Linked DNA regions of Caenorhabditis elegans. The protein of the gene in region 1 purifies or fractionates together with the protein of each later gene. This does not show direct contact. Each region holds a gene or a part of one and is shown in the gene's direction. Other genes may lie near its edges.

Region 1 (4,532 bases):
TTTCCGGTCACATACAAACAAAACATAGACGGGCTTTAAAGCTGTGAGTAACAAGAAAATTGCTTTAAAAAATATTGTTACAAAATTAATTTTTTCAGGTCTTTTGGACAGTATCAAAACCTCTATAATACTTCACGTCTCTATTATGTTGGATGCATTTATCCGTTGGAACATGGACCGTGCGAGAGCAGATATTAAGAAAATAACATATTGGCTTAGGTGAGTTGCTCTGTTTTTTTAATCTAAAAATTTTCCTCCTTAAATCTAATGCTTTTCAGGCTGGATACACTGGTAGGAGAACCCATAGGAAAGTTGCAAATCAACCATAAGCAGACACTCAACTGGCTACTGGCGGTGCAGCGCTTCTACCCTTCTCAAGGGCTACATGAGGTGTGTGATATCAATATAGTTAACTTAAGACACGTTCTATTTGCAAAAAAGCATATTTTTTTAGTGTTGAGTAAGATTTTTCAGGATCTCTGTAACAGACTAGGTGTGGACAACTCATCGAGTGAATTCTGCTGAATACCCCCACACATTCGAGGACGAACATCCCTACATTCCTGCCGAGATCAATGCTGCAGTGTGGAACAATCAAGCAACGTAAACAATTCTGAAACAATTTAAATTTTTATCACAGCTCTTGTCTTTTTAAATGTATCACCGAGCACTGTATTTTTTTTTGATGCTTTAAATAAAATGTTTTAAATAAGAAATTCCTTAACTATATTTTAAGCTTATTTTTTTGTATTTAAAAAAACCTTTGCATATAGGAAGACTATTAGATTATAAATATCTAATTTTTGAAAAACCAAACTTTAAAGGTGGCCTTTTTTTTGTTTAGAAAGCACAAATTGAAATCGTTCAAAATTTTTTTCAATATTACTGAAATTAACTGAATGATGCTGTCACTAAAAAAAAAGAGGGGTGTAACTCTAATATATACAATACGGTAGCTACATATATATAAATACAGCAAAATATATACACAGCAATATTTTTTTCAGTTAAAAAAAAGTACTCAACAAGTTTCAAACCGCTTAAATATATTTAAAACTAATGCACCTACCCACAAACTCTAAATATGTCGTTTTTTTAATCCTTTTAGCATGTTTTGTGGGATTCTGAATTTACATGTACAGATGCCATATTAATACATGGGTCCTCACCTAATGCCCATACGTGTAAGTATGCATAGTAACTGTGATAATGTACACTTTTGATTCATTTTAAAATATTTTTAAAATAGTTTTTATAAGCTTCGAAAATATTAAAATTTTGGGAAACCATTCAAAATTTTCAGCGAATTACCTTCAAAATCACATGGATCTTGCTCCTCACCGCGACCACTGTTTCAAGTTGCTCACGGAGCACAGGAGCCCTCCAGAAGCCGGGGAAATAATTTTACTGCTCAGCTCAATTAGGTGTGCCATCAAGTCATTTTATAATGTAACTAGAATTTCTGATATTTTTAATGTCGAAAATTTTGATGACGATGTTAAAGTTGTACTTGTTGAATAAAGTCAAGATGTCAGGCACAGGCAGGCAAGGGCAGGCACAGGTAGGCACAGGCAGGCACATGCAGGCACAGGCAGGCACAGGCAGGCACGGGCAGGCACAGGCAGGCACAGGCTTTTCATCATTTTTTAAAGATTGTTTCTACATTTAAAATTTAAAAAAATCAGCGATAAAACCTTTAAAAATGAGAAATTTAAAAATCCCTCAAAAATTTAAATATATTTTTTAAAATTTTAAAATTTTTAAAATTTTTTAATTTAATTTAATAATTAATTTTCACACATTTTTTCTCAGAGACTATATTAGTAGTTAAACTATTCAGTTCAAAAGTTACGTCAGAACCCAACCAAAAATTATAATAAATCAGAAATGGCACCGGCTGGGCGTCTGCCTTGACATCTGCGCCGGTCTGGTGGAAACCCTCTCCCAACACATTTGCCGCCATTTCCTTTTATTCTGTCTTCAATGTCGCGTTGTGTATGGTGACTTTCTTCTATTTTTTCTGATTATTTTAACATTTTATGGACAATCTTCGTATCGATTTTTTGAGAAATGGTAAGTTTTAGATTTAAAGTTTCAATATATTAAGAAGAAGTGGCCTTTTGCACTGAGTTCTAGAAGTGTTAAAAATACCATTTTTAGGAATTTTTACCGCAGACAGTCGATGAGTAGCGTGCAATTTGAGAGATTTAGTGAAAAGATGAGAGAGTGAGAGACTTGGTTATAGCGTGCGTTTTTGAGAGATTTAGAGAAAGTTAGAGAGATTTTTTTAGAAACTATTTCGTAATTGGGTTACTGTAATAATTCAAATGATTATTATTAATTTCATAACTCTATTTCATAATTTTTGTTACCCCGGATTCGATCCCAGGACACGATTCGTATAAACAGATGCTTTACCAATACACTATAGATGTAGTCGAAACCCCAGTAGAATTTGACTCTTTTCTTTTCCGAAACATCTGCCGTTTAGATGACGGCAAACAGATGGCGTTTTTTCCGAAATAAGAGAAGCAACAAGACATGATTTGCATGAATGCAAGTGTTACCGAGGTGAATGAATCATAGGAAGGAGGCCCCCCGCCCCGCGCCCCTGGGGGTTTTAAAGGTGGAGTAGCGCCAGTGGGGAAATTGTTAAAAACCACTCTTTTGGTCCCAAAATGACCAAATATCATGAGAAAACTTTTCAAAAATTTTTTGGAAATTTTTTATTTACTGTCAAAAAGTGACAATTACTCAGTTTTTGCCACTCATAATTTTGGAAGTCGACCAAAAAAAAAAAATTTTTTCTACATTTTTTATGTTTTAATTTTGTTTAAATTATTTGTATTAGAACATTGTAGGGGTCGAAACATGCGACATTTCTTTAAATTTCCTCAAAAGCTCATATTTTTCAAAATTTTGGCAATTTGCCAAAAACTTTGACCGGAAATTTGACCGGAAATTATGAAAAATCTAAAAATTTTTGGAGTGTTTTATTATGATATTCAGTTGTTTTGGATCATTATAAGTGCATTTAGACAAAATGCCCACTGGCGCTACTCCACCTTTAAGAGTCGCACAAGATGAAAATCTGAAGGATGATCAAGTTAAAGTTAAAATTTTTTTTATTCTTCCTAGATTTTCTTCTCTGATGTTTCCGAATTCAGCTACTCCACATTTGAAATCAAAATCCCCAGATTTGCAAAACGTCTTATTTCCAGATGATTGATGCACGTGCTCGTTGTGTGTTTGCTCAGATCACGTAATGGACCTACCGGGAATAGCGAATGCTTTCGATATTTTGTTCGATCCCGATGAAGAGGTACATCACGCCTGGGGCGATGTGAGTAGTGATAGAGTGTTAAAAATACCATTTTAGGAATTCTTGCCACAGACCGTTGACGAATAGTGTGTGTTTTACGATATTCAGAGAAAAACGAGAGAGTGAGAGACTTGGTTATAGTAAGGTTATAGTAAGTTATAGTAAGAACCAATAGTTTTGGCGCGGCAGCATCTTTTTTTTCTATTTAAATATTAATTTTCTTCCAATTTCAGAACCAGTAAAAATGTCGTACATCGATACTTCCCTGGTGGAGCCACTAAAAAAATTGGAAATAAATCTACCAACTGGCAACAATAATGGGTACACTTTGATCAAGCTGTGCAGAACGGCTTACCCGCCTACGATCCTGCGAGACCGGCATTTCTCAACACTTGTTGCAAGGTACAAGACGGACGAAGAGTTCAAAAACGAAGCAACTTTTGTGGAGAAGGTGTTAAACGACAAGATCGAGCAAGAAGCGTGAATTCTTGAAAATGCATGGACCAGCAGTGGAAAGACGAGACGTTGATATACCAGACTTCTGCTCCCCATTGATCTGATTTGTAATTTTGTATTTTTGGTGTCTGATTTTCACAATTAATAATTGTGATAAATTTAATTTAATTTAATCAGAATTTTCACCTTTTTTATCTATTTATCATCTTTAAAAAACAGAATATGAACCCAAATATGAAATAACTTTTTAGAAAAGCTATACAAACTGCAGAGAAACAAAAACTCAATCATTAAGTTATTTAAAAATGATCACAAAAAATATTTTACCCTGCGTGGGATTGAACCCAGCAGGCAGCCACTCGACTACCCCACAGCCCAGCCATCAAAACTTGTGTTATCTCATATTTTCCAGCGTTAAAGTGATAAAAACCAAGTTTTGCCGTCCAAATCCGGTGCAAGTTCAGTGTCGGATACATTTTTAAGCTTACATCATCAGTTTTAAGGCCATTTAACGAAACTCGTGCGAGGGCATCAATATTTAAGTCGTCGCAAACTCATATGAGAATGTGCGCGGGATGGCTTCACAGGTAACGGCTTAGGTTTAGGAACAACAGGGTTAAGGGTGCGCTGGTTCGAGTCCGCGGGGTGGTGGGAAAAATTTTCATTGGCAGACCGCAAAATATTCAAAAACAGATAAACGGCAGTTGATTTGCAGAATGACAGATGGCAGACCGCTGGTAGATAAATAGCAGAC
Region 2 (6,641 bases), on another chromosome or scaffold:
GGATGTTCACTCAAATGAATGGGTCTCGCCGCGCTCACTTAAGATTACTGTAGGAAATTCAAGTACAAATACAATAATGGGTCTCGAAACGACCAAAGCTTCGAAGCTACCGTACCCGTATATTTATATTTTTAAAAATTGTCTAAAAATATTAAAAGTATATGGGTTCTAAATTTTGGAATATTCAATAAAATAAATATGGAGGAGAATATTGTGAGTTACTGAAAAGATAGATTAAATTAACGGAAAATATACCATATGGCGAAAAAACTATAGTTTTTCAAAATATATCGATTTAAATTTTTTAAAAAATTAATATTTCTCTAAATTAATAAGAAATTATCGTATATTATTGAAAACTCTATTTTTTCTCGAAAGATTAAAAATTGAATCTCGGGGAGTTTAAAAATGCATAGCAACGAAACATCGATAAAAATCTTGCAGTAGAAAAGAGAAAAAGCGAGCGGAGGAATAATAAAATGAAGCGATTTCTGCAGTATTTATAGTGAGTGTTTGGAGGCCGACCCGCGCGCTCATTGATGTGTTTTTTTGCTTTTTAAAAATCGCGAATGAACCAGAAAATATAAAAACAACATGGCAAATACCTCAAAAATCAGTGCGAAAGACTGCGAGGAAAACAAGAAAACAACGAGTCAATTTATTTGCGAACAGAAAACTGGGGAAAATTGAAAAAGAACAAAACTACGGAACATTTGGAATTCAGGGAGCTAAATACGACAAAAAAAAGGAAAAAAGTCAAATTGAAAGCGATAACCATAAAGTAGAATTTGAGTTTTCAGAGAGAAATAATCAATTTCCACCAAATGCTAAACGTTTTCACTTAATTCAATATCTATACGGGGGAACTGTGATTAGGCATATCTGGCCTTGCATTGCTTGAAAATATCATTGAATCCGTTGCACAGAGAAACATCAGATTGGTTTTGTGCGCAGTCCACAAATTGTCTCCACTCGAATTCGCATGGCTGCGAGTAGCCAGAAGCTTGTGGAGCACCGGCTGGAGCAGCAGCAGCAGCTGGAGCTTGCTCGGCATGAGAGCTACCGCCTCCGGTGAACATTCCTCCGACGGCGTGACCCTGGAATTTTAGAATTCGATATTTTAATTAAGTGTTTCCCAAATTATGGTCTTGGAAATAGGTTAGCTTCGAAATCCGGGGAATATATATATATTTAAATAAAACTACTCACAACAGCGGATCCAATGGCGACTCCTCCGGCGGTTGCAGCCATTTGCTTCATCAATCCTGGTCCCTGAGATGGAGCACCCATTGGGGCTCCCATTGGAGTTGGAGCTGCTGGTGGATGATAAGCTGGAGCAGCGGCGGCTGAAATATTATTTTAAGAGTTTTTGAAAAAAAATAATGGCTTAAATTTTACCTGGTCTTGGTGGTGGAGCGGCGAAGGATGACTGGGCGGCTGGACGTGGAGCCGATCGAACTGGGGCCGATGGAGATGGGGAAGCAGTGCGCCGACGAACCATTTTCTGAAATTGATAGAATTTCAATGAAGATTTCAAATAATTAAAACTGTGAACGAAAAAAGCCAGAAGATAAAATATTCGAATAAATTGAAACATTCTAAATTAACTTTTTAGTTAAAAATGACAGAAATCAGGAACTCTGTAGCCTCCACTAGTCTCGAAGAGCATTTATATTGTCCGAGTAGTGACGAAATAGTTCAAAAATCACTTGTCTGTTCAATGTGATGAGAGATAAGATTGCGAAATACGACAGGGAAACAAAAAATTGAGCTAAATCAAGCGAAATCATATTAGAATCATTAAATATAAATACAAGCTTTTCAAAGTTTGTATTATGCATTTTACAACAAATAAAAATCGTAATAAAAGCGTTGTAAGACTATTTTTTCTATTTTCAAAATTTACGTATCCGTGATGATAAAATTTAGATTGGAAAATCAACAATCTACTCATTTCTATAATTTTTAATTAAAAATTGAATCAATTCAAATAGTTTATTTGTCAAATGCCTACAAAAATGCCATTCGATTTACTAGCGGAAAGAAAAAGATGGAATGCCGGGTACGAATCAATCGATACAAGCAGCCAAAAGGTAAAATTATGTTGTGTAAAGCTGAAAACGTGGAGTTTAGCTCAAGAGGAGATTCTTAGTATTTTTTCGGTCTGAAATGCATTTGTAAATTGAAATCAACAAATATATCTTTGAAGAAATGTGTTTAAATCATATAAAATACACATAATTGCTGCAACGAAGTAAAATACATTTTTCAGCTGACGGAAGTGGTGACGCCCATCACAGTCACGTGGGAAAACATCGAGTAAGTTGGAAAATTGACGAATAGTAACATCACATAACACGCCCAGAGCAATTTACTAATTTTTAAGTCATAATTTTTGTAAAATATAAACAAATCTTCAACACAAAGATCAAAAAACAAAGAAAATTCGAGAAAGAAATGATAAAAATGATGATGATTTGCGCGTAGGCTGTGATGCATTCCGCAGCGGTACGCAAACACCGCTTGCACACCGTAGTTCTGAGAAATACGCGGGTGTTTGAATTTAATATTTTCATATTTCAGGGTAAAAACTCGGAAAAAGCTATTTTCCAAAAAGCAGAAGCAACTGTTAAATAGAGTCTCGGGAATAGCAAAGCCAGGAGAAATGGTGGCATTAATGGGTGCAAGGTAAAACTTTAGTTATGTTATAGTTATGAAGTTATAGTTATGAAGCAATTTTGTTCAGCGGAGCAGGAAAAACCACTCTAATGAATGTGCTAATGTGCAGGAATATGAAGGGATTGGAGAAGAATGGAACCGTGAAAGTGAATGGAACAAAGATCGGGAAGGAGATTTCATTGATTTCTGGTTTTGCACAACAACAGGAGATTTTCATTCCAACATTGACTGTTGATGAATATTTAATGATCCAGGTCAGCATTTTTTTTCGCACGAAAATACAGTATTTGGTCTTGGCACGAATAACATTTTTTGAATTAATGTCACCTAAAATAACGTGCGCCTTTAAAGAATACCGTAGTTTCAAGTAAAAATACTATACGGAATGAAAAGTACAGTAACCTTTTAGAGGCGCGCATTCTTTTCTGGAGTTTTGATTTGAGAATACTTTGACCGTTTCAAGACCTAAAACTGTAATAATCAGAAGACAGTGTTTGATCTCCAGAACTCCCGATTTCTGAAGATCAAGCGTCAGCGCCTACTCGATACATCAAACTTTACGCGCAAACTCCCAAAAATTTCAGGCAAGACTTCGGATGAAAGCCAATAAACATACACGTAGAGAACGAGTGGATGAGATTATTGAAATGCTGAGACTCCAAAATTGTCGAGATTTGAAAATTGGAACACCTGGACTCGTAAAAGGAATTTCCGGTGGTGAAGCCCGTCGTTTGACATTTGCCTGTGAACTATTATCCAATCCATCACTACTTTTTGCTGATGAGCCAACGTCTGGACTTGATTCATTTATGGCTGCAAGTGTTGTACAAATTTTGAAGAATCTCGCGAATTCCGGTCGAACACTGATCCATCAACCTACTGCCGAGCTCTTTTTTCAATTTGACAAAATTATTTTCTTGTCGATGGGAAAAACCGCTTTTATGGGAACACCTCATGAGTCCGTGAAGGTAATTTTGAAATTTAAGAAATTATTTAAAGGCGCACGCCAAAAGGTCTTGGCACGACCGAAACTGAGGATTCAGAAAAATATTAGTGAATGTGGAATCTGCGAAAAAGTACAGTACTCTTCAAAGGCGCATACCGAAATGTTTCAGTCGTGTGGAGACCCTCATCTGCCTATAATTTTGAATCGAAAATCGAATTGTTCGGATACCCAACTATAATTTGAATTTACAAATTTTCGAATAAACCTTTTTTCCAGTTTTTCGCTGACTGTGGCCATCCAATTCCGAAATTATTCAATCCACCTGAATGGATACAATCCAAATTGTCAGTGATACCAAACAACGAGACAAAGAGTCGAGAAACAATTGGAAAAATTATTGAATTTTATGAAAAATCGATAATTCATCAGAAATCTATAGTGGAAATACGTGTGATTGCGACTACAGAGCTACCTCCATATATAGAGAATCCAGGATTTTTTGCCGAAACTGGAGCATTGTTAAAGAGGTTGGTTATCTGGAAAAATAATAGTTAAAGCACGCTTCTTTATGGTAAACTACGAAATGCACCATGTTTGAACCACAAACTGTTGCTGAACTTTGACATCCCATAGCTCAGTTGTTTTTGATTTTTCGAAATTTTGCCAATTGACAAAATATTTATCATGTATTTTTCTATAGTTTTGTAGTTCAACATTTTCTGATATCTATAAAATGACCCGAGATACTATAAGTTGCCAAAATTTTGTTTGGAAATCCTACCACGATTGCACTTTATAAAAAACCAGCTGTGGTCCGCACCTTCGGCGCGGCCCCCGACTTCTAGAGCTGAAAATTAATTTTTATGAAACTACCGTAACCCTACAGTATTCCTACCGTACCACTATTGTACCACTACAGTACCCCGACTATATCCCTACACTAACCCCAACTCACTATCCCTCCAGAAGTCAAAACTTCACAGACTACAAAGACTACATAGACTACAAACTATGGACACACAGAATAAGCGCTTTATATATAGTAAATGATGATGCACGCTTTTCTTTGCAAACCAATGGTGCAATAAAAATTTGATTTGCTTCTAACATTATTTTTCAGAGCTTGCCTCGATGTGATCCGTTCTCCAGCTCAAATGCGAATGAAACTAATTCAAAAAGTGGTGATGGGCTTATTCATCGGATCTCTTTATTGGCAACAACCACTTGATCCTCGAGGAGTACGGAACACAAATAGTGCTCTTTATTTTCTAATTGCGGAGCTCACTTTCTCCACGATGTTTGGAATTATGACATTTATGGAACATGAACTTCCATTAATTGCGAGAGAATATCATGATGGATTGTTTTATGTAATTAGTTATTATATTTCGAGGTTAGTTTAGAAAAGTGGAAAAGTACGGAAACATGACACGATATGGGAAGTTTTTCTATACGTTTATTTGAAAACTAAATATTTTGAGTGCACTGATAGGTAGTAAAACATCCGAGCATATGAAAAACAATGCTTCCATGGTTAGCACTGCATGCCTATGTGCCTATTTTCTGCCTACCGCCCATTTCTGCAATTTGACGCAAATTCCCGTGTTTGGATCAATTTTTCAGTTAAAAAAAATAGAGCAAGATTCACGTTGGTAGTAGGTAGAGCTTATAGTAGGCATTTTGTGACTGTACGAAACTAAAGACGAAGTATTAAAAAAATCAATATTAGGCTCTGCCCAAATAATGGTTTTTTGCGTTGTCAAGAAGAGCATCTCACAGTTGATAAATCTGATTCAACTTTCAGATTTCTGTCATATCTCCCATTATTTACAATCGACGGAGCTCTAATGATTGTAATATCATATTGGATGATTGGATTGAATAGTACTTGGCAACAAGTGGCTAAAAGTATTCTAATTTCTGTGCTCGTCGAGCAGTCTGCCACTTCGTGTGGCCTCTTCTTGGCTTGTCTATTCGAGACTACTTCGGTAAATTTTTAACATCAGATTTTTCAAAACACATGTTTTTTTTCAGCTGGCAATTGCTTTTGCCGTTCCAGCATCAGGCCTTTTTGCACTGTTGAGTGGATTATATGGAAATACGAATAACTTTCCAGTTTACATTCGGTGGATGCAATGGACTAGTTGGTGTAGGTTAGAAATTTTGCCCGTTTCTAGGCGTATGCGCTTTTGAACGGCTTCGTACTCACGACAAATGAATTTTCAGATATGGATTCGAAGGACTCGTCGTGAATCAGTGGTCTCAAGTGGACAATCCGAAATGGGATCCTTTCGTAAGTTCTATTTTTGTGACACATGCCACTTTAATCCTTTTTCAGTATCGAGAATTGATTCTGAAACAGTTCTCATTCAACAAAGACAACTATCAATTGGATGTTATTGGACTCTGCTCAATTGTGATCTTTTTCTATTTGGCTGGATATATTGCACTTTTCATTCGAATTCGATTATCTCGATGATTTTATTATTATGAACTTGTTTGCTGAACATTTTTGTAGCTCTTAATATATATTTGTTTGAAACCCCCCCCCCCCTGAGGTGTCGGCTGCAGATAAAGTCACTTTTTGCTCTTTTATCCTGAATCCGATACCAAAATCAGTACTGTATTTGAAATTGAAAATTGAACACAAAAAATCAAATTTTAAAATTTTTATCGAAATTTTTTTGTTTAGTGTGGGTGCATAGAAAGAATGTCAAAAAGGGGATGTGATGTGATTTTGGGATACGAAGAGAGAAAATTTCAAAAGAAAAACATACAAAGAAAAGGCATCTAGACGATCAGATTTTAAAAGAAAAATTGCAAAAAAAAACATTATATTAGGGGAAAACTGATGGAGAACATTGAAAAAAGTGTTGCGACATATGAACCCGCGAGAAAGACATGATGAAAACACGAATTTTGTTTTGTTTTTGAAGTTGAAATTGCAAAAAAAAAAAAGATTTGAAATACTTTTTGGCATTTGAAAGAAAACGTTTCCTTTAGTTTTGTGGGAGAT

The links.
Region 2: the proteins of Y17D7C.6 (region 1) and wht-3 fractionate together in Caenorhabditis elegans (co-fractionation; one large-scale study listed by BioGRID). This does not show direct contact.

What each region holds. Positions count from the first base shown.
Region 1 is NC_003283.11:18,707,839-18,712,370, forward strand, and holds Y17D7C.6 (uncharacterized protein), read left to right. Parts: upstream 1-1,971; 5' UTR 1,972-2,039; coding exon 2,040-2,073; intron 2,074-3,221; exon of another isoform or gene 3,222-3,322; intron 3,323-3,555; coding exon 3,556-3,806; 3' UTR 3,807-4,018; downstream 4,019-4,532. Other genes in the region: Y17D7C.1 (Transposase), read left to right, coding at 146-219, 279-390, 475-525.
Region 2 is NC_003281.10:4,146,917-4,153,557, reverse strand, and holds wht-3 (ABC transporter ATP-binding protein/permease wht-3), read left to right. Parts: upstream 1-1,959; 5' UTR 1,960-2,006; coding exon 2,007-2,093; intron 2,094-2,272; coding exon 2,273-2,319; intron 2,320-2,583; coding exon 2,584-2,688; intron 2,689-2,746; coding exon 2,747-2,933; intron 2,934-3,263; coding exon 3,264-3,647; intron 3,648-3,901; coding exon 3,902-4,152; intron 4,153-4,745; coding exon 4,746-5,018; intron 5,019-5,429; coding exon 5,430-5,613; intron 5,614-5,659; coding exon 5,660-5,778; intron 5,779-5,851; coding exon 5,852-5,918; intron 5,919-5,963; coding exon 5,964-6,104; 3' UTR 6,105-6,133; downstream 6,134-6,641. Other genes in the region: har-1 (Hemiasterlin resistant protein 1), read right to left, coding at 873-1,097, 1,210-1,346, 1,399-1,501. UniProt on the Caenorhabditis elegans protein: Required for efficient RNA interference (RNAi) of pop-1 indicating a role in the germline development.